3 linked regions of the Danio rerio genome follow. The protein of the gene in region 2 binds, or shares a complex with, the protein of the main gene of each other region. Links are inferred from orthologs where the notes say so. Each region holds a gene or a part of one and is shown on either strand. Other genes may lie near its edges.

The links. The genes of interacting proteins can lie anywhere in the genome.
Region 1: the proteins of gnb1b (region 2) and prostaglandin D2 receptor 2 are in contact, whole or in part, in a cryo-EM structure (PDB 8XXV), measured with the Homo sapiens proteins. The link is inferred for Danio rerio from reciprocal best matches to the Homo sapiens genes GNB1 and PTGDR2. Residues at the interface, in NP_001269468.1 of Homo sapiens: Thr50, Arg52, His54, Leu55, Gly310, His311, Asp312, Ser334, Phe335, Lys337; in NP_004769.2 of Homo sapiens: Cys59, Arg60, Arg62, Lys314, Arg317.
Region 3: the proteins of gnb1b (region 2) and crhr1 are in contact, whole or in part, in a cryo-EM structure (PDB 6PB0), measured with the Homo sapiens proteins. The link is inferred for Danio rerio from reciprocal best matches to the Homo sapiens genes GNB1 and CRHR1. Residues at the interface, in NP_001269468.1 of Homo sapiens: Arg42, Arg46, Arg52, Phe292, Val307, Ala309, Gly310, His311, Asp312, Phe335; in NP_004373.2 of Homo sapiens: Arg145, Ser146, Lys376, Arg380, Asp383, Lys384, Ser386.

What each region holds. Positions count from the first base shown.
Region 1 is NC_133176.1:47,345,756-47,356,358, reverse strand, and holds the start of prostaglandin D2 receptor 2, read right to left. Parts: upstream 6,255-10,603; 5' UTR 6,146-6,254; intron 3,300-6,145; exon of another isoform or gene 3,058-3,299; intron 1,713-3,057; 5' UTR 1,711-1,712; coding exon 430-1,710; 3' UTR 1-429.
Region 2 is NC_133181.1:56,061,863-56,072,461, forward strand, and holds the start of gnb1b (guanine nucleotide binding protein (G protein), beta polypeptide 1b), read right to left. Parts: upstream 5,987-10,599; 5' UTR 5,708-5,986; intron 1-5,707. UniProt on the Homo sapiens protein: Guanine nucleotide-binding proteins (G proteins) are involved as a modulator or transducer in various transmembrane signaling systems.
Region 3 is NC_133178.1:20,400,098-20,410,966, reverse strand, and holds the start of crhr1 (corticotropin-releasing factor receptor 1), read right to left. Parts: upstream 6,255-10,869; 5' UTR 5,401-6,254; coding exon 5,377-5,400; intron 1-5,376.

The sequences.
Region 1 (10,603 bases), on a different chromosome or scaffold from region 2:
TGCAGATTTGAACAACTGTGCAGCCGTTTGTATGCATCTACGTCGACCGCCGGGCGTTCACGAGAGAGAGGGACTGTGATTTAGAGATTTATGCTAAGCTGTTAGCATTGTGGAAGATCAACTACTGCACCTTTAAGCAAGAAGCTTGTAGGAGTTCTCTGTGTGTCCATTTCTGAGCATTCCTTCCTGTAAATACCTTGGAATCGAATTACAACTGACCATCCAGTCTTTTCTGGATAGGAGAAGTTGATGGTGTATTATTTGTTGAATAAAAACTAAATAATTGTGATTCTGATCGGCCATATTCAATACATATATGTTGTCTTGTGGGTGTCTATGTACAGCAGACCTTTTTTCTAACAAAAAATCATTCAAAAAGGGAGACAATAAGTTTGACCTTGACCTTGATTGCCAGGATATGTTATGAAGTCATATTTTGGCGTCCTTCATTCCCTCATTTATAGGATGGCTTTTAAAGGCAAAGGGGTCAAAGGAGCCCTGAGATTTGAGCTGGGCAAGGTGGGTTCTAGGAGTAGTGGGGGAGCGGAGTAAAAAAATAGGGGATGATAGATCACTTTTTCTCCTTCGTCCAGCAACCAACAGAGGTCCAGCTTCCTCCACCAACCCCTCGAAAAGAGTCCCCAGACTCTGGCGGATCCTGGTGCAGAAGTCCGGGCAGCTGAACGTGTAGATAATTGGATTCAACACAGAGTTCAGGAAGGAAAATGTCGTCACGAAAGGTAAGTACTCCTCCACCACATCCACAAACTCTGTTTTGTACTGAGCCGTCACCTCCAGCAGACAGAAGAGGTGGTACGGCACCCAGCAGAGGACGAACGTTGCGATCACCGAAAAGATCATTTTTGTGAAACTTTGTGATAGGCGAGTGCTGTTTTGTCCGTTTGATGAAGAGAGGACGCGGAAGAACTTTGAGGATGTCTGTTTGTCGTTTCTCGCAACTTTTAACCTGCTTTCAAGCCTCTTTCTGCGAGCCCGTAACTCCAGAACGAATGAAGCGTAACTGACGGCGATGACCACTAGGGGCACCACAAACGCCAGTAACACTTTAGACACCGCTGTCGCCGTTTGACGTACCTTACAGTCTATGTTCAAAGTGTTCGGGGAAGAATAGAGAGCGAAATCGTGGTAGCAGAGTTTGCGTCCATCTTGTTTAACCACAACAGAACGAAACATGAAGTATGGGAACGTGTTAAAAGCAGCCCACGTCCATCCGAGACCGCAGATCTTCCACGCCATTGACACTGTGCGTTGGTTTTGAGTCCACACTGGCTTAGTAACTAACAAGCAACGGTCCAAAGAAATAGCGGCCAGGAGAAAGGCAGAAACAAACATGTTGAGGAAAAAAATGGATGCCTGGGCTGCACACAATGGCCCACCCAACTCCCAGCTGTGTTCGTTTAGCAGGTAATAAGTGAACAGCGGGAGGGTTAGTGTGGTTAGGAAGTCAGACAGAGCCAGATTGAGAACCCACACTGAGGCAACAGTCTTGCGCTGAAGACGCCAACCCAACACCCAGAGCACCAGCCCGTTTTCCAGGATCCCCAGAGCGGAAACCACACCATGCACAATCACCGCCGCCATGTTGACCCGATTGTCATTGTTCAGCCGGTGAATGATCATCATCTGCAGGAGGGGACAGTGGAGCTCTGAAGGGCCGAGGGAAGAATTGGCCAGGAATGAGGAAGTCATTTCTGTTTAAAAAAAACAAAACAAGAAGCTTTAAAAAAAGAGAAACTTTAATAATATATTATGTCACAGTCTGAAATTAATCATACGCGTAAATTCACTGTTCTTCTTTATGATTTTTTTTTTGCCAATCTCTCTCATATGACCAACATAGATTTTAGCTCCAAACATCTCTAGCACACTTGTCTAGAAGTTTGTATTAGAGTTTGTAGAGTCTAAAGGCTTTGTTTAACTAGTTAAACACTTTTCTTTAGAAATAGGCTCATTTTACAAATTCCCTACAGGAAGGGGGGGAAAGTTAGGAAGATTTTAAGGGCCCATGCCATTTGACCAAACCCCCCGACTCTTCACAACATCCCCCCTCTTTACTTTTATATGTGTCACCCAAGAACTGCTTTCATTGGGTCCATACCGGCCAGTGGTGCTCCTGTCCGTATGCCATTATCCCATTGGCAAATCCCTCGTAAGGGTTTAGGGCATTGGGAAGAGCCCTTACGAACTTAATGCTGTGTGTGACACCAAATAACTTCCCTGCTGAAAGGATCATGGCCTGAAGTATCTATCAGTTCATAATAGCTCATTTTGAATACTTCAATATGGAGCACTTCAATATGGCAGCCATGATTTTTTTACTCTACCGTTCCCTTCGGAGGGTGATATATCTCCTTTAGGATGCTCTAATTGTTGGTTTGTATTTGTGCTTGTATAGAAGCCTGCAGAAGACAAGTATATACAAGTTTCCCTTTATAAAGTTTAGTACAATGAGTTTGACACTTTAACAAGGCTAGGTGAACTCATGCTATCTAGAAAACTGGTGTAGTTTAATGTAAAATATGAAAACAGAGACTTGAAAATGTGTATGTGTGTACATATATTGTGTTGAAAATACATTTCATGGCATTATAACAGCAAATAAGGCACATTACACATTTACTGTACATACTGTTGCTGTTTACAGGTATTCTTAGGGACTATATTTCTGCTGTAAGGATAAAATGTAATGTTTTACTTCGAAAAAAAAAAGCTCTTACATTTTAAGCTTCTTCGTGTAACCATTTTTTAAAATCATTAAAGCACTTGAGGTGTGAGGTATTGTGAATTACCTGCTGCTGAGGAGTTAAAATAAAGTCATTCCACCATAGGGGCAAAAAGTTAGTCATCAACATGAGGGTGAGTAAACCATGACTATCCTTTTAAAACAAAGCTAAAGTTCAGTTAAATGTTTCCGATTTCAAAATAAAATGACAAGTATAAAGAATGTAGGTGTCGATGAACTGTTGCTGTACATCTTTAAGAAGGTCACAGAGATTGCAAGAAAGTATTTTACAACAGATTTCCTAATGTTTTCAGATAAGAGGAAGAAGAGATGTCAGAGAAATAGGAAGCTGAGGTGAACGATAATCAGATGCGTTTTGAAGTTAAGTAAACTCTATCTACTTAACTGCATTTACAGTAATACCCTAATGAACAGTGGTTATGTTTAATTGTGTTATTCTGTCTGTGAGATTTGTGCTGATGCTATTTTGACTTAGTTTCATCTTATACAAAACAACACCACACTCTCTTCAAGACCTCAATAACATCATCTTAAGGTATGTGGAAATATTTATTCATTTTAGACGTGATCAAAAAGTCATAAAAGTTTTGAGTCACAAGGTTTGTCATGGTCTGTGTTTTGTTTTAGCTTGTTATTTCAGAGTCTTTCATAATAGTTTGTGGTATAGTGTTAAAATTATTGCATTACTGTGCTGAGCAGGAACTTTTTTTTAAGCACGAATCACTGTGTTACTTAATAAATGCTGTTTTGGTGTAAAACCTACTACAGTTTCATCTAAGAGTAATAATGGATCTCATTTTTTCCTGTAAAACATGCAGTTTGTCATGATGCTTAACCTGAACATGTCAGTGCCTGCCCCATGAATCTCTCCAACTGTAGTATTTACTTAGAAAACAAAGAAAGGTTTGAGGAAAAAGGAAAGAGAGTTGTGAAAAAAATTAATACATGTAATTATTATGTATTTTCTTTCTTTCTTTCTTTCTTTAATTATTATTATAAACGTGCAACATTTACTTTAAATCGCAATGTGATAGCCAAAATGTCATCTTTTTTTATTGTTTTTTCATTGGTTTTAATGAATATACAAACCAAAAAAGACAAAGACAAAGACAACTCAAGTATAGTAACAAAGGTCCTGTACTGTATTAAAAAAAATATATATATATTATTATGTATTATTAATAATTGTAGTCCAAATCGCATTTGTTTATAAGGTATCTTCTTTTTATGTAAATTTTTCTTTTTATGTAAGTTTTGCATTTTCTAATTTACTTTAACATTATTGGGGTTGCATCTCTGTGAGGAGTTTGCATGTTCTATCTTTAACTTCTCTACAATTTATAAAATATTTATTTATAAAATATTTTAAAACCTAGATTTTGAGTTTGATTTTTGCCAGCGTGTTTTTAATATTACAAAAATTTAACTGTCTGTTTTTATAATAATTTCTACATTGCATACACAACATTATTTTGCTAAGAAAGTTTAAACTTTAAAACTTAAAGTATTAAAGTTAAAACTTTAATACTGGGAAATCATTATTATTATTTTTTTTTATGCTGTAAAATCTGTAAAAACCTGAATTTTTACTAACCAAATCTTGCAGTGCATTCATTTCACTTGCATTAGTTACAGTTTCCAGTTCCACATGATGTTTCAGTAATCATTTTAATATAAAGATTTAATGTTTGAACATATTTATTTTATCTAACTATTCCTTGCTAAAATTGAAAAGAATGTCATTTATTTATATAATTAGAAAATATAATATAATTCATTAATTTATTCATTTTCTTTTTGGCTTAGTCCTTTCAATAATCTGGGGTTGCCACAATGGAATGAACCGCCAACTTATCAAGCATTTTTTTTACGCTGCGGATGCCCTTCCAGCTGCAACCCATCTCTGGGAAACATCCATACACACTCATTCACACTCATTCATACGGACAATTTAGCTTACCCAATTTACCTGTCCTGCATGTCTTTGGACTGTGGGGGAAACCGGAGCACCCGGAGGAAACCCACGCAAACGCAAGGAGAACATGCAAACTCCACACAGAAACACCAACTGACCCAGCCAAGACTCGAACCAGCAACCTGTGAGGCGACAGCACTACCTACTGCGCCGCCTATATAATATGTGCTTTCTTCTATCACCTCTGCTTTATTCTCTCTTTCTGAAATCATTTTATTGTAATAATTTAATGCTTGAGTCTAGTTTATTACCATTTTGAAAATTTTTAACTCGTTTTTTTTAAATAAATGGCATTTATTTATATTTTAAATTAATAAATTAATAATATAATATAATATAGTATAATATAATATAATATAATATAATATAATATAATATAATATAATATAATATAATATAATATAATATAATATAATATAAGAAGAGTTTATATAAAACAAACTTTCCTCAGGCAATCCATCTAATGAACACTTTATGATAGTAATTGTGAAACAAACATAACTACTTGCAATACCCTTTATACACATATACACTTATTCAACAACATACTTTACATGTCAGTTTACACACAACAGCTGCTCATATCACGTTATATATAGTAATATACCTTTACACTTGCCAATTTATATATTTGCATTCACTACTTCTATTTTTAAAATATTTTTATGTATGTCTCTGTCATTCTGTTGCACTAGAAGCTCTGTGTCCAAAACAAAGTGCTTAAACATACCTGCCAATAAAGCTGCCAATAAATTCTTTTCTTTATACAAACCCCAAACATTTGACACTATGTTTTCGTTCTGTTCTCAAAAATGTCTCTAGATTTTCAAGACTCCATGTACCATAAAAGGCAAAACAGTTGACAGTATCTCAAACAAGTTTAGTCAGGTTGACTATTTTAGCCTTCATTCTGCAACAATCACCTCAAGCATGATGGATTAAAGCAAAACATAGCTTTAGTGTACTGTTATACCTCAAAGCAGCTTCTTTAGTTCATCTTTAGGTGCTCCTGGTTGCTTTGTTCTATCACCTCTGCTTTCTTCTCTCTTTCTGAAATGATTTTAATATAATTGAATGCTTGAGTGTATTTTATTACCGTTTGGAAATTTTTTAACTTTGTTTTTTGATTGAAATAAATTTAAATAAATGGCATTTATATAATTTAGGTCTTTACTGCCTTTTGAATATTACTTATATCTTCATTATTTTACAAACCTCAAACAATATTTTTCAGCTTTATTGAGTGCTTGTCTTTTTAATCTGTTCTCAAGAATGTCTCTAAGTTTCAAGACTCCTTGTACCATAAAAGGCAAAACAGTTGACAGACTCTCGAACAAGTTTAGTCAGGTTGACTATTTTAGCTTTTAACAGTTATCTCAAGCACGATGGACTGAAAGGAAACCTACCTTTTGTGAAGTTTGTGTACCGTTATATTTATAAGCATCTTCTTTAATTCATCTTTCGGTGTCTCTTGGTTGCTTTCGTCTGTCACCGCTGCTTTCTTCTCTCTCATTTAGATGTTATTTTGTCATTCCTGTGTCTAATACATCATGAGGAGAGGCGGGGTCTGTCACAGTAGAAAGGAATAGTTTTCGTGGGTCATTATGTTTTTCCACCGTGTTTTCTTCTAGAATGCAGAAGGTAGCTGTTTAGAGTCTATGCGTGCTTTTAAAATCACAAATAATGCCAAACAATACATGTAAATTATATTATACGATCTTTTTAGCCACAAGGCACAGTTTCCATATTTTTTGTTATCCATTTATGTATGGTCGTGAATTGCATTATGGCATTGACATTGATCTCTGCTCTGTAGACTGTTCAGACCAGATGTTGAAAATTCAACTCTACTGTTTAACAAAGTGACTTTTATTCACTCTTTAGTGGTTTGAAATAATATAATGTATAAGAAATATTATATAAAGAAATATCTCTTTAAAATAACAGAAAATACACTGGCAGCTTAGCACAACGTTTTTGTACCGTAATATACAACACTGACCCAGATAAAATATCACTTTAAACTATTAAAAATGTTAATAAAAGCCACGTTACGTTAAGTTTGAACCTTAAAATACCGCATTTATTTATTGTACTATGCTGTAGCTGAATCAAATGTTGGACAATCTAGGTTTTATTCTGGATTTAACTACTGCATTTAACTGTTTGTCGAATATAAGAGCAGCTTCTATTTGACAAACAGGTAAATGCAGTTGTTAAATCTTGTTTTTTTTTCTGCTGAGATTATTAGCCAAAGTGAAAAAAAGTTTTTAACTCGTGCAGAATTTGAGAGATTAATCCATGCCTTTACATCATCACACATCATGTCTTCAAGTGGTCTAAAATGCAGCCCGAGTTTAAACACATTACCCTATCCTGTGCTACTTAAATTGTTTGGCGATATGTTTTAGAATTGAGTTTTAAGATTTTAATGTATGTTTTTAAGGTTTTAAATGGCCAGGCTCAGACTTATCTCTCTAATATTATTACTGTTAAAATATCTTGCAGATGTTTAAGGTCATAGAACCAGAAGATGGTAGTAGTTCCCAGATACAAATAAACGAAAAAAGGAGATGAAACTTGCTCTGAAGTAGGTCCTAAAATGTGGAACGAGGTACCCCATTCCTGGCAAAATTGGGATCATAAAATCCGGGAGAAAATCCGCGGTGAGCACAAAGTAAAGAGGGTGGTTTGGGGGGGGGGGGGGGGGGGGGGGGGGGGGGGGGGGGGGGGGGTCAACAACTGCTGTTTTATTGCTCTTTATAAATAAATAAACTAAACTATAAACTAAACTAAACTGTAAATACCTCAATAATGAAAGCACAGTTTTTTGTGTCTCTTTAAATGCAATAGAGCTGTTGCTCCCCGCTCCTCTCCAGTAAAGGGCGGAGCCTTTACATCTTGTGTCTTAGTTTATTTTGATGCTCATATGATTTTAAAGCTTTGTCAGTTTAAATTCCAGCTGTTTTCTGAGCCCAAAGACACTAAGAGCATACAAAGATGTTTGATGGCCCGTCATCTGAGAGTATTTAAAGGCACAGTTCACCTAAAAATAAAAATATCTATAATTTCAAACATTAGTTTCTTTCATCCATTAAACACATTACAGATGATATTTTTAAAAATGTTGGAAACCTCTATCGACCTTCATAGTATTTGTTTTACTTACTCTGGTGGTCAGTTCAGTTTAGTTCAGTTTTCTCCAAGACTTTTGTGTTCAATAACAGAAAAAAATCATAAAGGTTTGGGACCACTTGAGGGTGAATAAATGGAGTGTAAATTTTCATTTTTAGGTAAACCTCTTATACTTATTCTCTTTTACACCAAATGTCAAAAAAACACAAGGTTATTTCAAAACAATACATCCAATATTGTTTAAACTTGGATTTTTCAAATAATCTTTGTTTTTTCATGCCTGTGAAGATGCTAAATGACTAAATGTAAATGTAAATGTAAGATAAACACTTGGGAGGAGATTGTATCGGTGTCATTTTCTTTTCAGCTTAGTCCCTTTATTAATCCGGGGTTGCCACAGTGGAATGAACCACCAAGTTATCCAGCACTTTTTTACGCAACGGATGCCCTTTCAGCCGCAACCCATCACTGGAAAATGTGTCAGAATATTAGACCTGTAAAACATGCAGATAGCACATTGTGACTCAACCAAACCTTCTACCCTTGAATTATTTCAACTGAGAATGTTGTTTAATGCACACGCCCGAAATTACCTTTCAGGACTACAGTGGAGTTCACTGATAGAGAATAACTTGCTTCAGAGTGGACTTTGTGCTTTGGAAATTTGCAGATTTTGTTCATGCTTAAACAGCAACATCACACATTTAAGAAAGTAATTGTAAAAAAGCATGATATTACCTCTTCACATTAACTGGCGAATGTCTCATTTACTGTCATAAATGTAAGGGATAATGTACATCTAGGTGGTTGTTCTAGCAGAATAAAGCTGACAGGCTTATCAGCAGTGATTATATAACACTGAAAGGCTTTATTCTGTGAAAACCACTGCCTAGATACATTATCCTGCTTATTACATGGCTACTTGCCACCCAATGTAAACAAGTAAACACATAACATTGATTTGACATGTATTGATTTAATAATTAAACATAAACGTGCAGGTGAATGCAGCAGCAACATAGTATTCAGTCACAAGATGATGCCGAACAGTAAGAAAAGCGATATGAGTCACATGACATAATATAAAGCATACTTGCCAACATTTTTCTCCGAAATTCCAGTAGACCAGGGGGGCTGAGTTGGTTGGCAGGGCTATTCTGAGTAACGAAGTTGAGTACCAGGGGTTGTTTGTGTTGTAATTGTAATTGTACAATGGACCAGATTAGATTGACGACCAGGGTAGGGGGGGTTGGGGGTGTTGATGTTCAAAACTGTACCAAAAAGTTGAGGACCCGGGAAAAACTGGAGTGTTGGCAGGTATATGATAAATATGTATAAGAATGATGATTTGGACCAGCAGGATGCGGTTGTTATCTACATTGCTGTTACTTTGACTGAATCTTAGACAGAATGCTATATTTATAAGTGATATAAAGGAGGTTTTAAAGTAAAATGGTGGTCATTATGAGTTGTCAAATGGTAGGCTACATCTCGAGTAGAAAATAAGTTCAATGAAAATGCGGATTTACCACCCTTAACGGCTCTGGCCAAATGGTGATATAAATATTTATTTTTTAAATTTGCAATTCAGGAGATGATTTTAAGTATATATATATATATATATATATATATATATATATATATATATATATATATATATATATATATATATATATATATATATATATTTAAAATCATCTCCTGAATTGCAAATTTAAAAAATATCCTTAAATATTTTGTTAATTCACTATATATATATATATATATATATATATATATATATATATATATATATATATATATATATATATATATATATGTATATATAGTGAATTAACAAAATATTTAAGGATATTTTTTGGCTATAGTTGCACTTGTACCGTCTGACATAAACAATGAAGATGTAAATTATGTAACTTATTATTAACTAAAAATATTAATTTTTCTTCGGCTTAGTCTCTTATTTATCAAAGGTCACCACAGCGGAATGAATCACCAACTACTTCAGCATATGTTTTACACAGTGGATGACTTTTCAGAACTGGGAAACATTGACTAAACAACTGACAGTATTTTCTGAAACATCAGCAAGTGAGAACAGGTGTGGTCTTATATGTGGAATCTGACCTTTTTTTAAACTTTATATATGCAATGTACTGGAAAACACATTTGGGAGTGGAGACCATAAAGCAAATTAAAATGAAGCAATCCATAAGCTTTACATGTATGGTCAAAGGTGCTTGACCCAGTGAAAACACATCATCTGACACTGTTTTACAGTCTGATCCTCACTCAACAGCAAGCATCAGGTTGGTTTTATTATTCATGTTGCCATAATAAAACAACTTAATTCACATTTAATGCAGGCTGTCATAATTTTACAATTTTTGTAATGAGTGTGACGCGACAATATTCTAAAATAATAATAATTAATAATTCCTGGTTAATCATTCACTGAGGTGTGATTGCATTTTTTCTGAACACTGAGAGATAAGACATTCACTATATATGTGTCTTTAGAGCCTGACAAGGAGCCAACAGATAGGGAACCGACTTAAGAGAGAAGGTAAGAATATCTCAAAATGTTATATTATATTATATTATATTATATTATATTATATTATATTATATTATATTATATTATATTATATTATATTATATTATATTAGTACTACAATTCTGACACATTATACATATTTATAATTTGGAAATAGAAAGAATAATAATCA
Region 2 (10,599 bases):
CATCGTCATACGACCTACTTTAAAAAGGAGTCAAGCAAAATGACTTTCAATTCAAATGTAGAACAATTTGCAGCTGCGCAATGTCTTGACTCTCAAGCAGCCGTCATCTTTTCCATTAGCCTGATCTCAGTTGTCAGATTTGAGCTTGAGTTAAGAAGAACATCATCTAGGCCAGGACAGGAGAAAGGATGAAGAAATAGTGACAATCACAACCTTTTTCAAGCTCTATGGGTCAGCTGAGGACTGTGAAGCAATTAGCAATACTTCTGAGTGATATTAGCACTATATAAGAGGGAAGCCACACATATGCTTGTTACTCCCAGATGTCTGTGGTCAGGCAATCTAACTGGAGCACTACAAATTTGGTTGGATCCATTTCCTGTAATTGCCATTGGCCTCTGGTGCATTATGCCATGTCCTAATTGTGAAATCAATGGCTCCATGTTTGAAAAGTGAAAGTTAACTGCATAAATGAACTAAGCTAATGGCATATTGGAAGAACACAAACATTTTTGGAGGGTTTTCATGAACACAACCCAATGAAAGGATCAAGCATTCAATGAAGGTGGTTTTCCTGGCGATCAAAACATTACAAATGTTTAGAAATTCACATGCATAGCAAACACCGCAGAAACTGACAAAGAGTGGTAACAAGGAAACAAACGAAAAAATTTAACAAGTCTAAAAACACGCTTTAAATCTTACAGATAAAATATTGAAAGTATGCTGAAGACAACGAGCGCATCTCCCTCCAGCTGCATGCGGAGAAAATCTTAAGATGCTGGAATCACTGAAACATGGCCAAAACCTTTAAGTTCCTTAAAGTTTCAGGTTATACTTCAAAATTCTTACCTTATGCGGCTCACACAAGGCTCCTTGTGTTTGACAGCCAGAAAATGTTTCTCTTGGTCAATGTCTTATCCTTTCCTATACTCTTGCCTGTTCCTGATTGGCTGACCTCTTAAATGGACCCGTATCAAGACAATACGCCTAAGTCCTCTAATCTTGCTGATCAAAATGACATGGTTACAAAAGGTAAGTCCCTTACCTCACCTTCAGTTCTCATTTAACAGTGAAACCCAACATGAAAATATCCATACTGAAATTCTAGTAGCAAAAATTTTTTTTAAAAAAAATCAACAACTACATCGCCAATCCAAAAGTACAATTTATATTTAAATTTTTTAGGGAAAATAGATGCATATAAAGAATGTATAGCTTTAATAATTAAAAAAAATCATGTGTACACAACACTAATTGTACAGATTTCCAATATCAAACTATCAGCATCAATATCAGTGTAGTCAATAACCCCCAGCCCCCAAAAATATGCAAAATATGTAAAAATATGTATTTACTTATGTCTGAAAAAACAAGAAGGGCTACAACTTTAGCTTTAAAAACAATCCCTTGGCAATATACATCAAAAAAACCTAACATGACCAAATTCTTTTTAAAATGCACACTACACATTTACGAGCAGAAACACACTCTACAACTTGAACTGCAAAGTTAAATGCCTCCAAAACTAACCTACTGAGACTGATGCACATAAAAAAAGGATAAATAAATAATAAAAAACAACACTTCTCACTTTATATTATTTAAAACCTGGAAAAAGAGCCCAAATATTACTAATTTACAGTATTAGCTTAATCATCCTGTTATAAAAACCACTTTAACAATGACAGATTATGATACGGTCATCAATTTATGCAAAGCTAGAATTTAACAATGTAGTTCAGTGTTCAAAATCAAGAGCAGGGCTCGCTCTTTGCCGAAATGAAACTTCATTATGCATAAATACTGGATATGCTGTGCCAAAGGCCAGATGCAAAGATAGCACAAAAGCAAAGTCGAATGGCTAAATGCAGTAAGGCATCAACATATGTGCAAGCAGAGCTCAATCTCACCCTCTCAACAAACACTTGATCAGAGTCAGCTGACTGCAGGACAAAAAGAGAGCTGTAAGAAATGGCCTAAAGGTGCCACAGACTGCGTATTCTCAGGTCACTCTAGGGCAACTCGTTCTTAGATCCTTTTGGAAAACATTTATTTTAACCAACCCTTTTTTTCTTGCTGATCTGAACACATTTAAAACGTTTCATTTGACGAACTTTATTCCATCAACATGAATTACACCAAATGTTTGAGGATGGCGCGGCTTATTAGGCATTAACAAAAGAAAAATAAAATGCATATCGCTAAAGCTGGATCATAGAAAAGACAGTAACCAGCACTATCACTATCCAAGCCTGTAATCCTAAAAGCTAAAATCCACGTACAGTAAATCTATAATCCCTCTCAGCGTCACCCATGGAAAAACAGCTGTCCAGAGCTGGGCTTGCAGTACACAAGAATTTGTGGTAGTGTTTCAGGGGAGCTTAACCTCTGTATTAAAGTATTTACTAGACTTTTATTATTTATGCTATACCAACTTCTAGCTATCATTCATGCAAATAAAGGTAACTTTAAATTAGGCATGTACCGGTGTAAGATTCTGACAGTATGATAACCCTGGATAAAAATATCACGGTATTATGATTACAGCTCTAAAATATGTTCTCTTTAAATTCATAGTTAAAAACAAAAACTTTTCCCCCATTGAACATAGCATATTTCATTTTGAGAAACATTTTAAATATTTTGGAGCAGTAAACATGTCAGGCTAAATCGTTAAAATGAATGATTGACCTCTACGGTCTTCATCAGTCTCTAAAACAAAGATTTCTTTACAATTTTAAACAAGATTTTTGAATAACTTTTTTTTGCTGAAGATACTGTGGTCCTAAAAATAAAACGTAAATACATTTTTTTTTTTAAATCACATACCTTAGGGAAAGTATAGAAGGTAAAGAAGGGTTTAAAACCTTGACTTTTCCAAACTGCGGTATATCATAAAAACGGTTATCGTCCCATGCCTACTTTAAATACAGAAACTATTTTTTGGGGTAAAAACTTGATAAAAAAATAATGCAATTGAGCAATTCCAACGCTATGGATGTATAAATTCAGTAAAAACTCAAACCTTAAATTCACAGAAAAAGTTGATGTGAACATTATATCGAAAAATCGGTTTATATTTCCAGAATCACAGAGTTATGGGATCAGAAAAAAATCTCTGTAAACATATTTTAGATTTTAAATAAAGAAAGTAAACATGCATTATGGATGATGAAAAAAAAAGTCTGCAAGTTTGCAGTATACAACATACTTTATAGAAATTCTATGAATTAAACAAAGCAACCCAAAAGAAACAATGCTAATTAAAAGGATAAGAGTTGTTCCTCTACAGAGCAAACATGACTTATTTTACCTTAGATTTTTGCATTTATGAGATGAAAGTTATGGATGTGGCAGATGTGAAATTGCCACTTGTGTGACTTTGCTAAATCAAATATAATAGTTTGAAAACATTGACAGAGAGATTTTTGAGTAGTGTAAGCACTGCAAAGTATTTGCCAACACCAAAAATGTAGAAACAGTTTCGTTATTTTGGTTGAAGCTTAGTTTTTTCATGACAAGGCTGACATTTACATGGAAATGCTCAAATCTCAACATGCTTGCATTAAAACACCTGCGAAAACAAATGGGCGTTAGTTTGAAAATCAAAATAGATATTCAGAATTACATTATCTGAATAGATTTCAATTATTCCATCATAATTATACACATATCAGCTTCTGAGGTGCCCACTGCGAATCAATCTGATGCTTTTAGTTATCCACAATTACAAAACTGCATGTGTATCAATGCAGATTGCACAATGTATAATGCAAATGGATTACAAGTAATGCTTCAGCAAATGTAACACTGCCGAGTAAAACATGAACAATGACTATAATAAACATGATAAGCAAAGAACCAACTTAGGTGCATAAAAAGCAGGATGTCTGGGAGGGAGTTAAAAACAACAATGTATGCAATGAATCATCCATTATGCTTTTGTTTTAAAATAAAATCAAACAAAAGTGCATTATCTAAACACAAAAGGGTATTGTGAGAGCTTATGTGCATGACTGCAAAGAAATGTCTACATTTATAGCACCAGAAGCACAAGTTGAAATCAACAAAATGTGAACGATCACGTCACGGTGGACTCGAAACACTATTTGATATTTCACAATTGCATTTCGCGTCATAAAGGATGAGGTTATGCAGCTTTAGGTGCCACACAAAGAGCATTTTATTTAAAAAAAAACGATAAACTCTAGCTTCAAAATATGTTCCTGGAATCGTTTTTAAAACAACGAGCTTCGTTTAAGAGCAAAACGGTGCTTTTTTCGGCGTTTCAGCGGGTTAAATGAACGGCATGCTGATATGAGTGCGGAGAGGGAAGCCGGAGAGAGAGGCTACGGACGCCATCTTGTTCTTGGGCCCCACATTGAAGAATTCATTGATTCCGTTTATTTATTCATGAACGGTGTTCCTTTATCTAAATGCCAGCGAAGAGAAAGGCAAACTCGATCGGTAGGGGAAAAAAGAAGGAGGGGGCGCAACATATTTATCCCATAGCCTATATTTCCCCGACCAATCCCTTAATAGTGACCTCAATACTGAGCCGCTAGCCCGTTCTTAAAATATTCCAGCAGCGATGATAAAGGCCATCCGGCTCCATTCATTTCGCGTATCTGAAGAACTGCAAAGCTCTTTGCTGCATTACTCTGATACACGATCGCAGGAGAAAACACATCTAGCAGGTCTTTTATTCTTTATCGTCAGCAAAAGCAATTCAGCGAGAATCGTAGCGGAGCATCACCGAGATGTCGCGAAGAGAGGCAGTGCACCTATATACCTGAACAGCAAAGGCCCTTTAAACACAGGCTTAATGAAATCCAATTAGGTTGTTTAAAAGAGTAGTTAAAAGAAGCAGCGCACACTTAACGCAATAAACATTAACACGAGCTAAGTCGCTTAAATGCACACGGGATTTCGGATTACGCCATTCTGACTCGTAATAAATCCATCTCCATGTAAATGTGTGTAGGGGAAAACACACTAGGACGGCTTGTAATATACAGCCAGATGGTGTAGATTGCAATAGACGATCGGGTGAACAAATAAATGGCTAATCTTTATTTACCGACTGCATTTCGATCAATATTCACTTGTAGTACACGAGAGTGTGTAAACCAGCATTTGCCTAACCAAAAATCCTCGATTCTGTAACACAGAGGAAGGCCTAGCTGAGCTGAAAAGCCGAATATTTTGCCAGCAGAAGCTCCGGTAATTAGCCTGTTAGCTTACAGACCAGCCTCCAACCAAAACCCCCCAAACTTAACATTTAAAGCAATCTTAATTGCTATTAAAATGCCCCTATCAAGCACATTACTGAATTCCCCCAAACCTAAATTGGTTTAATTCTGAAGTAACGCCGATTTTTGGGTGCTAACAAGCGAACTCGCACTAAACGGCCTCCGGTTAAGTCGGCCGACTCAGTTCACGCCATAATGACCGAGCGAGAGATTAAATGCACTATAAATTCACATTAATAAAACACACACGATGATAACTGTTTAAAACAACCGTTTTTCGCATATTTGCCTGCCACTGTTGTGTATGTAAATCGCTCGGCTAGCCGCTACCTGCGCCTCACCCCACCCCCCTTCATTCTCTATGGTGACCAGCATTTTATCCAACAAATTCACCCGATTAGAACGAAACATTCAGTTCCACACACTTGAAATAAGCACATAGTGTTCCATACCTGTTCTCAGTCGTAAATGGCCTTTGTTTATATGGCATTGACCGAAAAAAACGATGGTGTGGCTGTCAAATCCACGCATCAACGAACAAGACGAGCTAGCTCGCTAACTAGCAGCGGGAGAAGTACCGAGTCCACTTCCACAGCGACAAAACTCGCTCCGGCGGGCGGGAAATGAGCCTGTACGAGGGGGGATCTCAACTGCGAGGAAAAGCTGCACTCATAAATGTCCGATTGGAGACTTTGGTCAGCTAATAAGTCCGTCGGTGGCCACTTCCCGTTGCCTTCCTTGAAGGAACACTTCTCTCCAGTTCAGTTCACCTCTCATCCGGCCATCAGACGGAGATGGGCGCGGTAACCCTGCAGTCTGCCCTGGGAAACCCCACGCCGCAGCGCACGGGCGAGCGGCGCTCTTACGCAGGAATGGAATTGACAGAAACATTTCCAAGCCAATTTAGCAAGATTTGAATACACTGATGTACTTTTTAAAATGCTTAACGTTTTTAAAAATATTATACAACCCATATTCCATTAATAGATTAACCTGAGCAAAGACTTTATGGAGAAGACCGAGGCTTTGTCACAATTTACTACAGAACAGGTTTTTCTCTATAGGTTTAGCTGTACTTTGTTTGAAGTGAGATTTTGATATAGGCACAAGTGCAAATTTAGAGATTTATAATAATAATTATATTAACAAAATCATTTGAGAAAAGTATTGTTTGCTAATTCTGAATAGTTAAATCATATTCGCAGCCAATGACTATCAAAGTAGTCCAACAGTGTTGATGTTAATAGTGCTAATGTTGTTTTGAGAAATCGTGTAGGGGACTTATATAATTACAGTGAATTTATTAACACTTTTGGTTTAAAAAAATACTTTGAATAAATACAAAAAAAAATGTGTTCATTGTATCTCCCTAAAATAAATGTACCTTATTAAAACCACAAAAATATATAACCATGTATCTGGCTCTCTTCCAGAGCTTACTATTAAGGGCCTCTCTATCATGGATAAAAAACTGAATAACAATTATATCAGGAAAATCCTGACTGCAGATAAAAGTGTTCCTCTAATAGCAATGGTTAAATGGAAACAAGCATTCCCTTCATTCTTTTCCCCCAAAACTCTGGTCAGATTTTACAAAATACATACTTCCCAATAAAGTAAAATAAACTATTTGTAAAATATTACATAGATATTATCCATGCAATGGTTTTATTAGTAGGTTTAAGGAAGGTTTTTCACCTTTGTGTTGTTTTTGTAAAATGGAACTGGAAACAATTCTTCATTAATTTTTCAGTTGCAGTTACACAAAACGGCTTTGGTCCCAAGTTTTCTCACTACTTTTTGAAGTGTATTGTAAATTTATCAATATAACTGATAAAATGGTTTTATTTATGGACTGCAACTCTGGGAAATGGACAAAATAACAAAAAAAATCTTATTTTATTTGGAAAGTATCACATCCGCAAAACAAAATGTATGCTGACTGTATTAAAGTGTAAACTATTCTTCATTGATCTAAATAATTTTATGATTCCCTCACTTCTATACAGAGTAATACTAAAGTTTAAGACATCCCAATTGCTGGAAAAATACTTAATGTACATAATTAATTTTTGTTGTTAATTTTCTTGAATACTGTTTAATGTATAATTATGTACTCCCCTGTTTAATCAATAAATTTTTTTTTGTTTTGAAGTCGTATTTGCACGCGATTTCAGAATATTCAAAGTAACATGCTAAACAAGAGCGCATGTAACAAGTTGTTACTGAACCAATGTGTGAATATAAAACCAACTTTACATTAATTTTTAGGGGCCCTAAGCAATTCCACCCAAAGGGCCCCAACAATTCTAAAATGCACCCTTTGTACTTTTATTTATATATTTATTTTTTCTTATATCACTAAATCTCCTTTTCTATGTTTTATCATAATGCAATCTCTACATCTTAAATAATTAGTTTGATTTAAATAAAAATACAACTGAAATAATAAATAGACTATTTCGTTTTTAAAAACAAAATCTTTGCCAGATTTGACTGCGGGTTACGTAAAAACATTTGCTGGAATAGTTGGGGGTTCATTCTGTCGTGGCAACCTCTGATAAATTAGAGATTGATAAATCAGAGACAGAAAATGACTGAATGACTGCTCTATAATTCTGGATGGGGTGCAAATTTGCGTAAATGGAATAATAACATTAATATTTTATTTGTTAGACCTTTACCATAAAAAAATTGTCAGAAAGTTCTGTGATGCAGTGCTAAGCATAAATTAGTACACCCCTCACAAATTTGTCTTTTATCTTTTCATATTTATAATAGGAAGCTATACAATATTATATATGTGCATTAGATTAGTAAGTACAGAAGCCAAATCTGAAGCTAATCTAACAAAATACTACAATCTACAATAACAGTCCAAAAACAAGTACAGCCAAATTTATGTTATAGAAAAATATTAGGAAAAATCAAGAGAAGCAAAAAAAAATTTGTAGGTTGAAATTTTTTTTTTGCAATATTTAGCTTGAATTTAATTGTTTTATATTTAATTTCAAAATATGTTTAGTGACTAAAATACTAATTTTAATAAATATATCTGTTTAATAAATCTGTTTTATTTAAATGCACGAAAACATATTGCCTACATTCACTGAGAAATAAAAATATTCAGTTTCTAAATGAGTTGTGCTAAATAATGCTGAGCACTCAATAATTTATAAGTATTATTTATACTTCTAGATATGGCGGCCTCTAGATTTCCTAGGGCCCGTAAGCGGCTGCTTACCTCTCTTATTGGTTAAATCCACCCTTGTATAGACGTGACAACAAAAACAACTGATATTTCTATTGCTATTAAAAAAAAAGAAAACTATATTTTGGTAATGTTTGTTTGACTACCAAAAATCTTGTGTAAAAGTAACTATTGGTGAGGAAAAAACTAATTTAACATAAAGGTAAATTGCTTCAATTATACTGCAAACAAACATTATTGTCTATGAATTAATGTAGTAATTTAATCAACAAACAGGAAAAAATGTCTGATATTTCATGACTTGGACAAAAATATATTAAAAAATTATAAAGTTCAATGTCTAGAACAGGCGCTTTAATAAAAATCCATGATATCCCAGAAAGTCCATGACCTGTGGGGATCCTGTATAAAATAGTTGCTCACTGACAGAATGATTGATTACCTTTAACGTCCACTGCCAGTTAATGGTCACCATTGACTTCCATTGTATTTTCTCACACTGGAACTCAATGGTGACCATCGACTGTTCGGACACCATCATTTTTCAAAATGCAGACAGAAACTTAAAAAGAGAGTCAAAGAGGTTTGGACAGTGTTTTCATTTGGGAAGGGAACAACATCTTTGTGTAATTATTAATTAATATTTATGTATTTATTTTTTAATTAAATATTTTTTATTTATTTATTTTATTTTATTTCTTTTATTTATGTTTATTTATTTATGTTCATTTGTTTATTTACTTATTTATTTATTTATTTATTTATTTATTTATATTTATTTATTTATTTATTTATTTATTTATTTATTTATTTATTTATTTGTGTTTATTTATTTATTTTTCTATTTATTTATTTATTTTTCTATTTATTTATTTGTGTTTATTTATTTATTTATATTTTTGGGCTCAAGCATAAGTAAATTACTTTAGTCATATTTACATTTAAATTCAAGCATTCGGCATATGCTTTTATCCAAAATAACTTATAAATGCAAAGTAACAAGTAATGAAAGCTCAAATTCCTCAATTATTACAAATTACTCAAATGCATACAAACATAGATAATATACATGAAGAAGGAGTGTGTGTGTGTGTGTGTGTGTGTGTGTAGTGTCCGATTTAATGTTTAACTCCATACAGAAATGTCAACAGGACCAGCTTCTAGCCTCCACCACGGTGACTGCAGCTCTGCACAAGACTTTTGGCCAGCGGAAAAATTAAAATGGTCGTCCCCAACTGAGTCTGGTTCTCTCAAGGTTTTTTTTTCTCCACTCCTATCAGGTGAAGTTTTTTATCCCTCTCCGCTGTCGCCACTGGCTCGCATGGTTCAGGATTGGTAGAGCTACGCATCGATGAATTTGCTCTTCAGTGTTTGAACTCTAATGATTTTAAATCACACTGAACTGAGCTAAACTGAACTGAACTTAAACACTAAAAAACTGAACTACACTGTTCCAGTTACTATGACCATTTATGTGAAGCTGCTTTGACACAATCTACATTGTAAAAGCGCTATACAAATAAAGCTGAATTGAATTGAATACACTAGGACCAATTTAGTTTATTCAGTTTATAGCGCATATGTTTGGACTGTGGGGGAAACCAGAGCACCCAGAGGAAACCCACTCGAACAAGGGGAGAGCATGCAAACTCCACACAAAGTCAACTAATCCAGCTGGGACTCAAACCAGTGACCTTCTTGCTGTGAGGTGAAAGTGCTAACCACTGAGCCACCGTGCCGCCCTAGTATTGCAAACGCCATGAATTGAAACTTCATCATACATTTTTCATTTTATTCTTTTTCAATCACCTCTGTAAAGTATTACTAAATATAAATGACTAAATATGTTATTATTAGCCAAGGAATAGTCATGTGTCTTTCTTGTGTGTTTACCACAATATTTGTTTTGTATTTCAAAATACGTCAAGGATTACCAACAGTACAATAAAGCATGTACAAAAAATATGTAATTTGAAATGTATTTTTTTATTAAAATGAGGAAGTACAAGAACTTTAAAAGCTATTATGCGATTCTCTTGGGACGTATTAATTTTCAACACGCTATATTGATGAGCTTTTGTAAAATAATGCACAACTTCCTTTTACTTTGCTATAGATTTTTGCCTCCTGATT
Region 3 (10,869 bases), on a different chromosome or scaffold from region 2:
ATCATTCTAGTTCTCCCATGAATCTAAATATAGCATGCACACCATCCAAAGGCTCAGAGGCACCACAATAAATAAAGACGTCAAAAATCAAGCAATCCAGACTGCAACAAAAAGCACAAAACAGACTCTGGCTTGTCTGCTTCTGACATTTAAATTCTGACATCTTGAGGAGAAACTGATAAGCTTCCTGCATGCTAAAACCTCCAGCTCAAAGCCGCCTGGGTCTGTGGAGACCGAGAAGCCTCTTCACTTCTTACATCTCTGTGATGAGTTAATTAGACCAGTGTGCTTATTGAACTGCACTGGGTTGATTGTAATTTCACAGAAGCTTCCTGTGCTTAACAGGGCTGAAAGGGTCATGTGTGCAGGTGAAATTATTCTTCCTGTGCAGTAATATAAACACACAAACACATGTCCTTGGGGGCGATTGACCTCAGACTCTTGTTTCCAGCATGAAGTCTGATCTACACTCACAAACAGGTCGAAAAGGATGCGTTCTGAGTATAGGGTTGCATAATATATTGCTTCAGCATCGATATCACAATGTGCACATCCGCAATAGACGAATTGCAGGATAGGCAATGTTGAGTTGAAATTCTACTAGACCAGTAGCTATGATTTTTGGTGTTTATGCAGAGTTGAACTACAATAGAGTAAAATATTATGATATGCCTGTGGTTTTAATGGCTGAGACTGTTTCAAGAGAGCATTTCAAGAGAGCTTAAAGCATTCAGGCAAAAAAAAAAAAAAATGTTAAGACTCCCCAGAAACCCTCTATTGTTTATCTATGATTCTAATTTGTTCCCCTACATAACCGTCCCAATCCAGCATAACTATTTAATTATTTTCAAATTGAGGTATTTAAAGGTATAGCTCACCCAAAATGAAAATTACTAGTGGTTCTAAACTTTTATGGGCTTTTTTATTCTGTTAAACACAAGAGAAGATATTTTGAAGAATGCTGAAAACCTGTAGCCTTTGACTTCAGCAGTGGGAATTACAAACACTACGGAAGTCAATGGTTACTGGTTTTCAGCATTCTTCAAAATATCTTCTTTCGTTTTAAACAGAATGAAGAAACTCATACAGGTTTGAAACAAGTAAAGGGTGAGTAAATAATTACAAAATTGAAAATTCGGGGTAAACTATCATTTTAAGTCATCTGTCATATCAAGACATATTTCAATAAATGTCACAGAAAAAACTAAATATCGCAATGTCCGATTTTTCCAATATCGGCCGGTCTTACTTCTGAGCTCCCATCAGGTGTATGCAACTGATAAAACAACGGGCAGCATCGTGATGGTAATATGCTATGGAAAGAGCTGCAGGGCGGAGAACAAACTGATAATAAATGTCATTGATGGCTTAAGAGGGCAAGATTACACATTCATAAGCTTTACTTCCTCGCAGATGGACATTTTCTGGCCTCATTTTTTATCTCAATCATCAATACGACAAGTCAATCATCTCAGATCTGACATTCTGACCTTACAAGCTGCTAGCTAAAAGTTATGCTTGGTTCAGGCTACATAACATTAATGTCTTTTTATGATATTCACTGTAATGGATTATGCAATTTTCCCTAGATATAAACAGACTTGGAACTCTTTATATTTCAAAGCAAATAAACAATATAAGCAGATAAAAAGAAATCATGATTTTTTTTTTTCTGAATCTGTTTACACTAAAACAATGCAAACAAATACACAACTGATTTCTTGTAAACCGTAACTGCGGAAAACACATCTAAGATACATGGAGATTTTTCTTTAACCATAGTCTTCTTTTTCACACATTTAAACACTCTTTTTAAGCACTGTGATGTGAAAAATGCATCATCATTTGGAGGGCACCAATCAAAATTCTCATTGCTAACCTGAGGTGGACGAAGCATTTTATTTTACTGAAAGGAAAACAACACTACTAAATAGGGCTGCACAATATATAGTTTCATCATCGATATTGCAATATGTGCATCAACAAAAGTCACATCGCAGAATTTTCAGTGTTGAGTGTATGTTTTGGGATTATAGTTGACTTAGAGCCACAGATCAAAACACATGAGATTTGCAGAGTCACTAAAATAGAGTACAAATGTATCATTTGCATGTTTCTTCAGCCTGTGACCTGTTTTGTTTAAAAACAATGCACAAAATATTTTCAATAAAGACTAAATACACTGAATTATTTCTACATGTGAAGACTAAATAGTGGTGTTTTACACTTGATTATTCTAAATTCTAAATCTGAATACTGTTAGACTCCCCCAGAAAACCATAAAATTTATTTAATCATTGCTCTATTGTGTGTATATATTTTGTAATTTATTTGTTGTATTTAAAGCAAGATTTCCTGCCCTACAGAAGCATCCCAATCAGTCTAAATTAATGAATTATTTCCCAATAGAGATATTAAAGTCATTCGGTGAAACTGTACTCATATCGCAATATATATTGCAAAGCAACAAAATCTTGCAATGTTGGATTTTTCCAATATCGTGCATAGACATGGGACGAAAACCGTTTTCAAGGTATAAAGTGATTAGGAAAAGTTTGAGGTTTTAAAACCACCAAAATTGTCTGCTATACCATTCAATTAATGTGTAAGACTTTTTATTCAGCATTTCTTTTTTTTGTTTGTTTTTTTTAGGACAACAGTATTTCCAGCAGAAAATATATCTAAATATGCCATTTTAAATTGTAAAGAAATCTGTGTTTTGAAACTAATGAAAAGAGCAGTCAATGATTTATTTTTTATTATTCAGTCTGCCATGTTTACTGCTACAAAATATTTCAAATGTTTCTCAAAGTAAAATATATATTGTGTTTAAAAATATATTGTGTTTTTTACCAAGACATTTAAAAAGAATATATTTTAGAGCAGTAATCACAATAATGTGAAATCGTTATGTTTTTATCCAAGGTTATCATACCGTCAGAATCTTATACCAGGCCATGCCTAATCGTGCAGCCCTACTACTGAAAATAAGCTGTTATCACCCCAAAAAATAAGCTCACTGATATGTCACTAATTTTAATTCCTAAATATTTGCTGTGTCATGATTACATAACCTCAAATTATACACAGTAAAAAATGGTGGGTTGCACACAATTAATTTGTGTTGGGACAACATAAAGATATTTAGTTAACATATCAGTTTTTACCAATTTAAGTGGATTGAACAAAAACCAATTAAGTTTTCCCCAAACACACTCAAGAAATCAGTTGTTTTATTTTAAATAAATTATGTGAACAAACAGCGTACTTTATTTTTTTGAGTGTACTTTATTTCCTGAACAATCCCTGCTTGATATCTTTTATGGCATGTGTAATGTCAGACGACGATGTAACTTTTTGAACAATCACTAGTTACTGCGTTTAATTACATGTGTGATGTCATTGAGAAGGAGGGACAAGCAATTGTTTTCCTGAAACTAGAGCATAAGCACACAATGTCTCCATTGGAAAGCCACCAGAAATAAAAGAAAGTGAACAACAGTAAGTGCGCATATAACTTCATCAGTCTTTCATTTTGTCATCTTGAAGAACTGAAGAATTTCTCCTTTTGGTCATTGTCACATATAAGACAAAACCCTGTCTTTATTAATTAAAATAATTAAATAAAAAAATGTTAATAAAATCAAAGGATGCAGGCACAGCGCTGATTATCATCCACTGGGAAATTACTGTATATAAGATTAAATTATGAAAAATTACCATTGTTGTTTATAAAGCACCACAACACCCAGATGGATTGTGGCAAAATTTAATTGATGTTGTCTAAACCAGGAATGAATCATTCTTTCAGTTTAAGGAGTAAAAAGCAGATATCGCTTTACTTAAATACCCAGCCAGATCACAGCAAGCTCACCAATGTGCTGATGCAACGCAAAGATGAATATAAGTCAATTAGTGCTTGTATGAATTCCTAATTGCTTTTCTGCACCTCTGCCAGCCACGTGGGACGTTTCACAACTCTGGAAAAGCTGCAAAGCAAAAATCACATTACCGTGTCTTTACTCAGTCAGTATTTCTAAACTTTCATAAAATCAATCATCACTCAAATGGTTTTTCGGAGGAAAACACTCTCTGCTCCAGCTGTCCACAGTGCTGAAAGTGATAAAATGCACATTAATGGTAGCGGAAAGCTTGTATGTTTTGACTGTCAGAGTTTCAGCGCATTACTTCATAATGGTGCCAGACTGGGCCACGGTCCAGAGCAGAGACTGATAAACTCGCTGCATCCTATTTGAGGCTAAAAATAACAGCTCTGTTCCTCTTTACCTTTAAGTGATGTCATTTCGCATTATTTCGAATCTATGATATGCTTGTGATGCTGTGCCAAGCTTCTATTATAAGCTGAAATTGACATTCTTTAAAGAATGTCTTGCAGCTCAGCTGAGGACTGGCAGGGGATTGTGTCCTGTCCCTGCTTGTATTTACTGTCTACAGAATTCAATAGCACACCCACACACTGCTGAGTCACATTGGCAATGATCTCCCTCGTGGAAGGATTGTCATTAATTACCTCCACAGCTTCCCTTAAAATCTCAGTGTCAGGCAATAGTTTAATGACACCCATTAAGTGCTACTCTGCGATAAAAAAAAAAAAAAGTGAAAGAAAAAGCACAGTAAAACTAGAACAAAAACAGCTTTTTAATATACTGTCACTTTCAATAGAAGAAATTAATTAAATTCCAAACACATTTGGAAATGTTTTAACGACAAAAAAGTTTTTGAATATCTGGTTCAACTTCCAGGAACAAAATGCTTTGCAGTCACTTATGATATTCACAGCTGCATATATTATTTAGACTGTAAGTATACCAATATACTTAAAGCATTAAATCTTTTTGTTTACAAGATGCTAGCACCAAACCCAGGTGTTGGGTGATACAATGGAAAAGTAACACGATGTGCTGAATAAAAACTAACCTCTATTCTATAGTAACTGTCAACAACAAAGTGACAGAGCACAGGGTTACTCACACAATACAAAACACACTATTAAAGAATATTGCTACAAATACTAAAGACACAACAAAAACCGGAACGCACAACTATTAACAATTTAACTTTTTAAATGAGACCAAAACACACTGGCACTTTGCACTTAAGGTTCTAGGAACTCTACTTAACAATAAACATGATTTTAATAATAATGATGTACATGTTTATGTTCTTCTCCCATAATTTCAATAGTTTTACAACACAATGCGGTCTTCTACCATTTTTACACCATAGCTAGTTAACTAATAAGCATATTAAAGTTAACCAATTAAATGTTCTTGAGTTTTAGTTCTTGTAGCTTTTATAACAAACAACATGTTTCCAGTAAAGCTAAAACACGCTTTGATGGGATAATAGTCGTACCTGTGGATGGAGGATGCGACTCATTGCTCCAGTGTGTTTTTCTGCAGAAACCTTCAAACAGCAGAGCGCTCTCGTGCTCCAGATGCAGCTGTCCGGATGCTCTGCTCCGGGGTGACAGACCTCTGCTCGAAAAACAATAGATTTGCACCCCGAGGATGATCAGTGCAGCATTTACAACTGGAAATCAGCAGGGCGAATTATGCGCGCATTTGAATCGCTGCCTCATTTTCACCCACTTCCAGAGGAGTTATTATTAATATAAGCGACATATCCTTGTGTTTCGGGGTATTCGGTGGACACTTAATCCTCAATAAACAATCTTCTGTCGAGTTTGACTACTTAAGGTCCTGGGAGGCAGGTGTAAAGCGCTTCAATCACGACACCAATCACGCCCGACACCCAGTCAGTGTTTCCAGATATGATAAGCGTCTCGACCTGCTCCCCTGCGGCTGGAACTGAACTTTTCCAAAAGTACTACCACAATTTTAATCTCGTTTACAAAATTATCCGTTCCTTGTTAACACGGCGGATCCTCTTCACGTTGCGTCCTCGCACTGACTGACCCTCTGTTTGAGTCCCATCGGTCAACGGTAAAGCGTTCACACGAAGCCCTACATGACAGCGAGGAGGCGTCACTGCGCGCGGATAAAAGGAACAGACGCTGAGATTTTGCGCGCGTGCGGGTAAAATGTAGTCCGAGAGAAAATGTGACAACTGTAAGAAGTCTAGCTGACGCGCGAGCGGAGTTCGCCGGTGCAAACTAATCCGTGCCGTTCCCACGCGGGCTGCGCGTCTTTAACCAAACCGGCGGTTCACTGTTTAGCGCGCGCGCTCCGCAGCGGCATGAGACTCAACACCGAGCAGCCTTCATAATGAGTGAATTCCATTCGAAAGTGAGCATCACTACACCCTGTTCAGTCTGAAAGGGGGAGCACTCGAAGAGAGTAGACTCTGAAGGGAACAGGGCGCATTTGAAACACATGGATATGTGTCTACGTCACTGGCACTTATTTTCATCCTAAAGTTATGATGTGAAATCAACATTTTGATGCCGTAATGTTTGCGTAAAAGATTTGTCCTTAAGGTAATTTGCAATGGTGTACGCTGATTTTTTTTCTTTTTTTTTTACAGATTTAAAAGTTTTGTTTTGTAACTATTTGGGTTGCATGAGATTAAAAAAGTGTTTGAATAAAGAAAATGCCATGAAGTAAGTTTGAATTAGCACATTGATTACAGTCAATGCATTATAGATGCACTGATTGAGTTGCATAACCCCTCATTCACTGTGTCTTAAGCGAATGGGTTGTCATGCAGAGATAAAACATAATATCAAATCTTTAATATGAAGTTTCATCTGAAGGTTTTCTAAAATGTTTGAATGAGAGGTGACAGGATATGCCAATTTGTCTCAATAATAGGTGCCTCCAGTATGAAAGAGAGCCATTATCTACAGTGGTGGGGTTTTGTCTCATTTATGGACAGTGCATTCAACATGAACATTCACACTTTTGTATGGCTTTGGAGAATGCGATCTGTTTGTCAGTATGCAAAGCAAAAGTATGTTATTTAGCATAAGTGTAATTTAGAAAAAAATTGTCATCCCATTTCCCCAGGGCGAAAAGTGCTTATTTTGGCTTTATACTTTATGCAACGCTAGGGAATCATATAATCCTTTAGCTCTTTTTATCTCTCGATCCATCCAGCTCTCCGTCTAATGATCCTTCTAGTGCAAAGAAATTCTGGACAGTTTTGTCTAAACAATATAGCATCAATTAGGTTTGTTACATACTTTTTTTTTCACTAAAACATATATGTATACACACACACACACTACATCTTAAACTCATGGTGAACTTTAGTTTTCAGTATTGTTGTTACCACTCTTATGTAAAGCTGACAGCACAGCAAATCCTCCACATGTATTTCCAGACACTGTCCCCTTTTTAGATTTAAATTTGTTTTCAGGGTCAGGAATCGCAGCAAGTCCAAGACAGAGGTGTCGAAAAGAACAACTGGCTATATTCAATCATTCTCCATATCGCATTAATGCAGGTCTGCATTCTAGTTGCTTTATAAAGACACAGGAAATGATTCAAAATGCACGACCCTCCACAAGCTGTCTGAGGTCAGCCTGATGATTCAACGTGTGTTTCATTATTAAAATTGTTTACCGTGTTAAAATGAACTGCAGCTCGTACAAATATCTGTATTGCAAGATTGATTTTTTTTAAAACTTAGAGTTAGAGTTTAACCAAATGTTGTGTATGATATTATTTCTTTTGTGGAACACCAAAGAAGATATTTTAAAGAATGTTTGAATTCTTTTTCTTTTTTTGTTTTTTTTTGTTTTTGTTACAACAGTGGACTTTCACTAAACAGTTTTGTTCAGATAAAATAAATAAAAGCACTCAGCAACGCACAACAAGTAAATAGTGAAAATTTAACACTGGATTAAATATTTTTTTAAAAAGTAATATCTTCCAATAAACAGACGATACTTTAGAATATAAAAGTAATGAACACCAAAATTTATAAGTGTTTTATTGCATATAATTATCTATTGTATCTGCCACCTGCGTACAGTAAATCTCATGTCATGCTGTCAGAAATCCATATATATTTTTTCTCTTACACACTTTCCAGGAGAGCCATTCAAGACAAAACCATTCATTATGACAGCACCTGCAGTGCCATACGTCTCATTTTACTTTATGGCATACTGTCAGCTCTGCAGTGACATATTGACATCAGTTATGATGGCGCACTGTGCACTTTCGACATGTTGTACGTGACTTATTCATATCGCCACTAATCGTCACAGGGGCATTTCCGAACAGAGTCAAAATGGTAAGGGTGATCTTGTCCTCCCAAAGGGAAATGTCCTTTTAGCCTGACTGAATTTAAGAGCAAGCTCTAAAAGCAAGCAGGATAGGCATTATTGATATAGACGTATGCACTTGACAAGATCAGATTCTGTTTTCCTTTTAGGCCTGGAAATGAGAGTTGAACTCATTTTTAATATGTTGAGAAGTGATTTTTCTTTATATCTGTTCCATTTACTGTTTATTTAGGAAATGATTCAGCCCACACACATGTAATTGAGTGGAGAATATTTATGCTAAAAGATGAAATACATACCGGAAAGTTATCTCAGTGATACTAGCCTTTTCTTTTTCAGCAAAACATGACAGCTTAATTTGATGCAGGGCATTTTTATAGCCTCAGGGGTTGTTCAGTTTAATTTGTCTTGGTTGTCGCTGCTAAATAAAACGAAACTGGGTGACATAATGAAAGCTCTTTCTAAAAGTCAAAGGTCATGTCCATCAAACTACCACTAAGACTTCCGGCTAAAAAGTTTAGGGCATTCTCATTTATTGCTAAATAGATATAATTTGCTTCTTGGTTTGATTGATAATCCTTGTTTTTGTTTTGGAAAATTGTGTGACTATTTTTCAAAAATGTTATAAACATAAAAAACAAAAACAGTAACTACACAACCTTAAAAAGAACCTTGTCATCGATTCCAATTGTAAGAGCAACAAATAATAACTGGACTTCTAGTTGATCATTTGGAAAAGTGGCAGAAGGTAGATTTTTCAGATGATTCATCTGTTGAACTGCATCCCAATCCTCACAAATACTGCAGAATACGTAATTTGAACCTGTATGGACCCAAGATTCTCACTGAAATCAGTCAAGTTTGGCAAATGAAAAATTAGGGTTTGGGGTTACATTTAGTATGGGGCCGTGCGAGAGATCTACAGGGTGGATGGCAAAATCAACAGCCTGAGGTATCAAGACATTTGTGCAGGCCATTGCATTGCAAACCACAGGAGAGGGCAAATTCTTCAGCAGGAAAGTGCTCCTTCCCATCTATCAGCCTTCACATCAAAGTTCCTGAAAGCAAAGAAGGTCAAGGTGCTCCAGGATTGGCCAGCCTAATCACCATACATGAACATTATTGAGCATGTCTGGGGTAAAATGAAGGAGGAGGCATTGAAGATGAATCCAAAGAATCTTGATAAACTCTGGGAGTCCTGGAAGAACGATTTCTTTTCAAAGTTATTTGAGTCAGAGATGTATGGATGCAGTCCTCCAAGCTCATGGGAGTTATACACAATAATTATTTTTCCACTTTTTTTCACTATAACTTTATATTCTATACTGTACAAAATTACTGTTAAGTGACAAGACTTTTGTTTAAGCAAAGTCAGAGCTTACTGTCCTAAATAAATAATTAAAAATCAAGACATGATCATATTTTATTTTGGTAAAATAAACGTAATCTAGAGGCCTTTGCCTTTTTTATAAGCCACTTCTGATATCAAATGATCAACTAGATCTCAAGTTATCATTTGTTGGATAGGTGACTTTTTTCAGGTAGTGTACAGTATAAGTAAATGCAAAAAATAATGGTATTATTAACATAAAGAGTTTTTGTGTATGTGTGTGTGTGTGTGTGTGTGCGTGAGTGTGTGTATTTATTGCTATTAAGCAAAAAATACAATTACTTACAAGAAATACAATTACAGATTTCCTTTTTTTATTTAAGCCACTATTAGCTGTTTTTGTATAATTTAACATATACACCTCATTTAACATGAAGATCAACTTTTGATTCAACTTTTTTTTTTTTTTTTTACCACAATTTAAACAATATTTCAATCAGAATATTTTGAAGCTACAAGAATACCTCTGTAAAAGCATAAGACAAAAATAATGGCTTTATTCTCCAGAGTTGAGGATGTCCTTCGGTATTTATTTTTCTGGACAAGTCAGGACTGTCACTGTTTATGGAGGATAAGGGAGCTCTCAGATTTCATCTAAAAAATCTTGATTTGTGTTTGAAGACTGACGAAGGATCAAGGGAGATATAAGACCATGAGGCTGAACGGTAAAACATAATTAAAATTGTTGATGATCTAATCCTTTATTCATTCAATCATTTTCTTGTCGGCTTAGTCCCTTTATTAATCCGGGGTCGCCACAGCGGAATGAACCGCCAACTTATCCAGCAAGTTTTTACGCAGCGGATGACCTTCCAGCCGCAACCTATCTCTGGGATACATCCACACACACACATTCACACACACACTCATACACTACAGACAATTTAGCCTACCCAATTCACCTGTACCGCATGTGTTTGGACTGTGGGGGAAACCGGAGCACCCGGAGGAAACCCACGCGAAGGCAGGGAGAACATGCAAACTCCACACAGAAACGCCAACTGAGCCGAGGTTCGAACCAGCAACCCAGCGACCTTCTTGCTGTGAGGCGACAGCACTACCTACTACTGTACACAAATTGAATAGAATTATAAATAAAATCAAAGGAATAAACAACATCATACAAACATGAAACAAAGGAAAAAGCATACTCAAATGGCTCAGGTATTATAGATCTTTTCTTTGAGGCCAACAATGGTAAAAGCCCAGCCCCCTTTCACTTAAACTATATAACCGAGTGTCATCTGCATGGAAAAGCACTCTG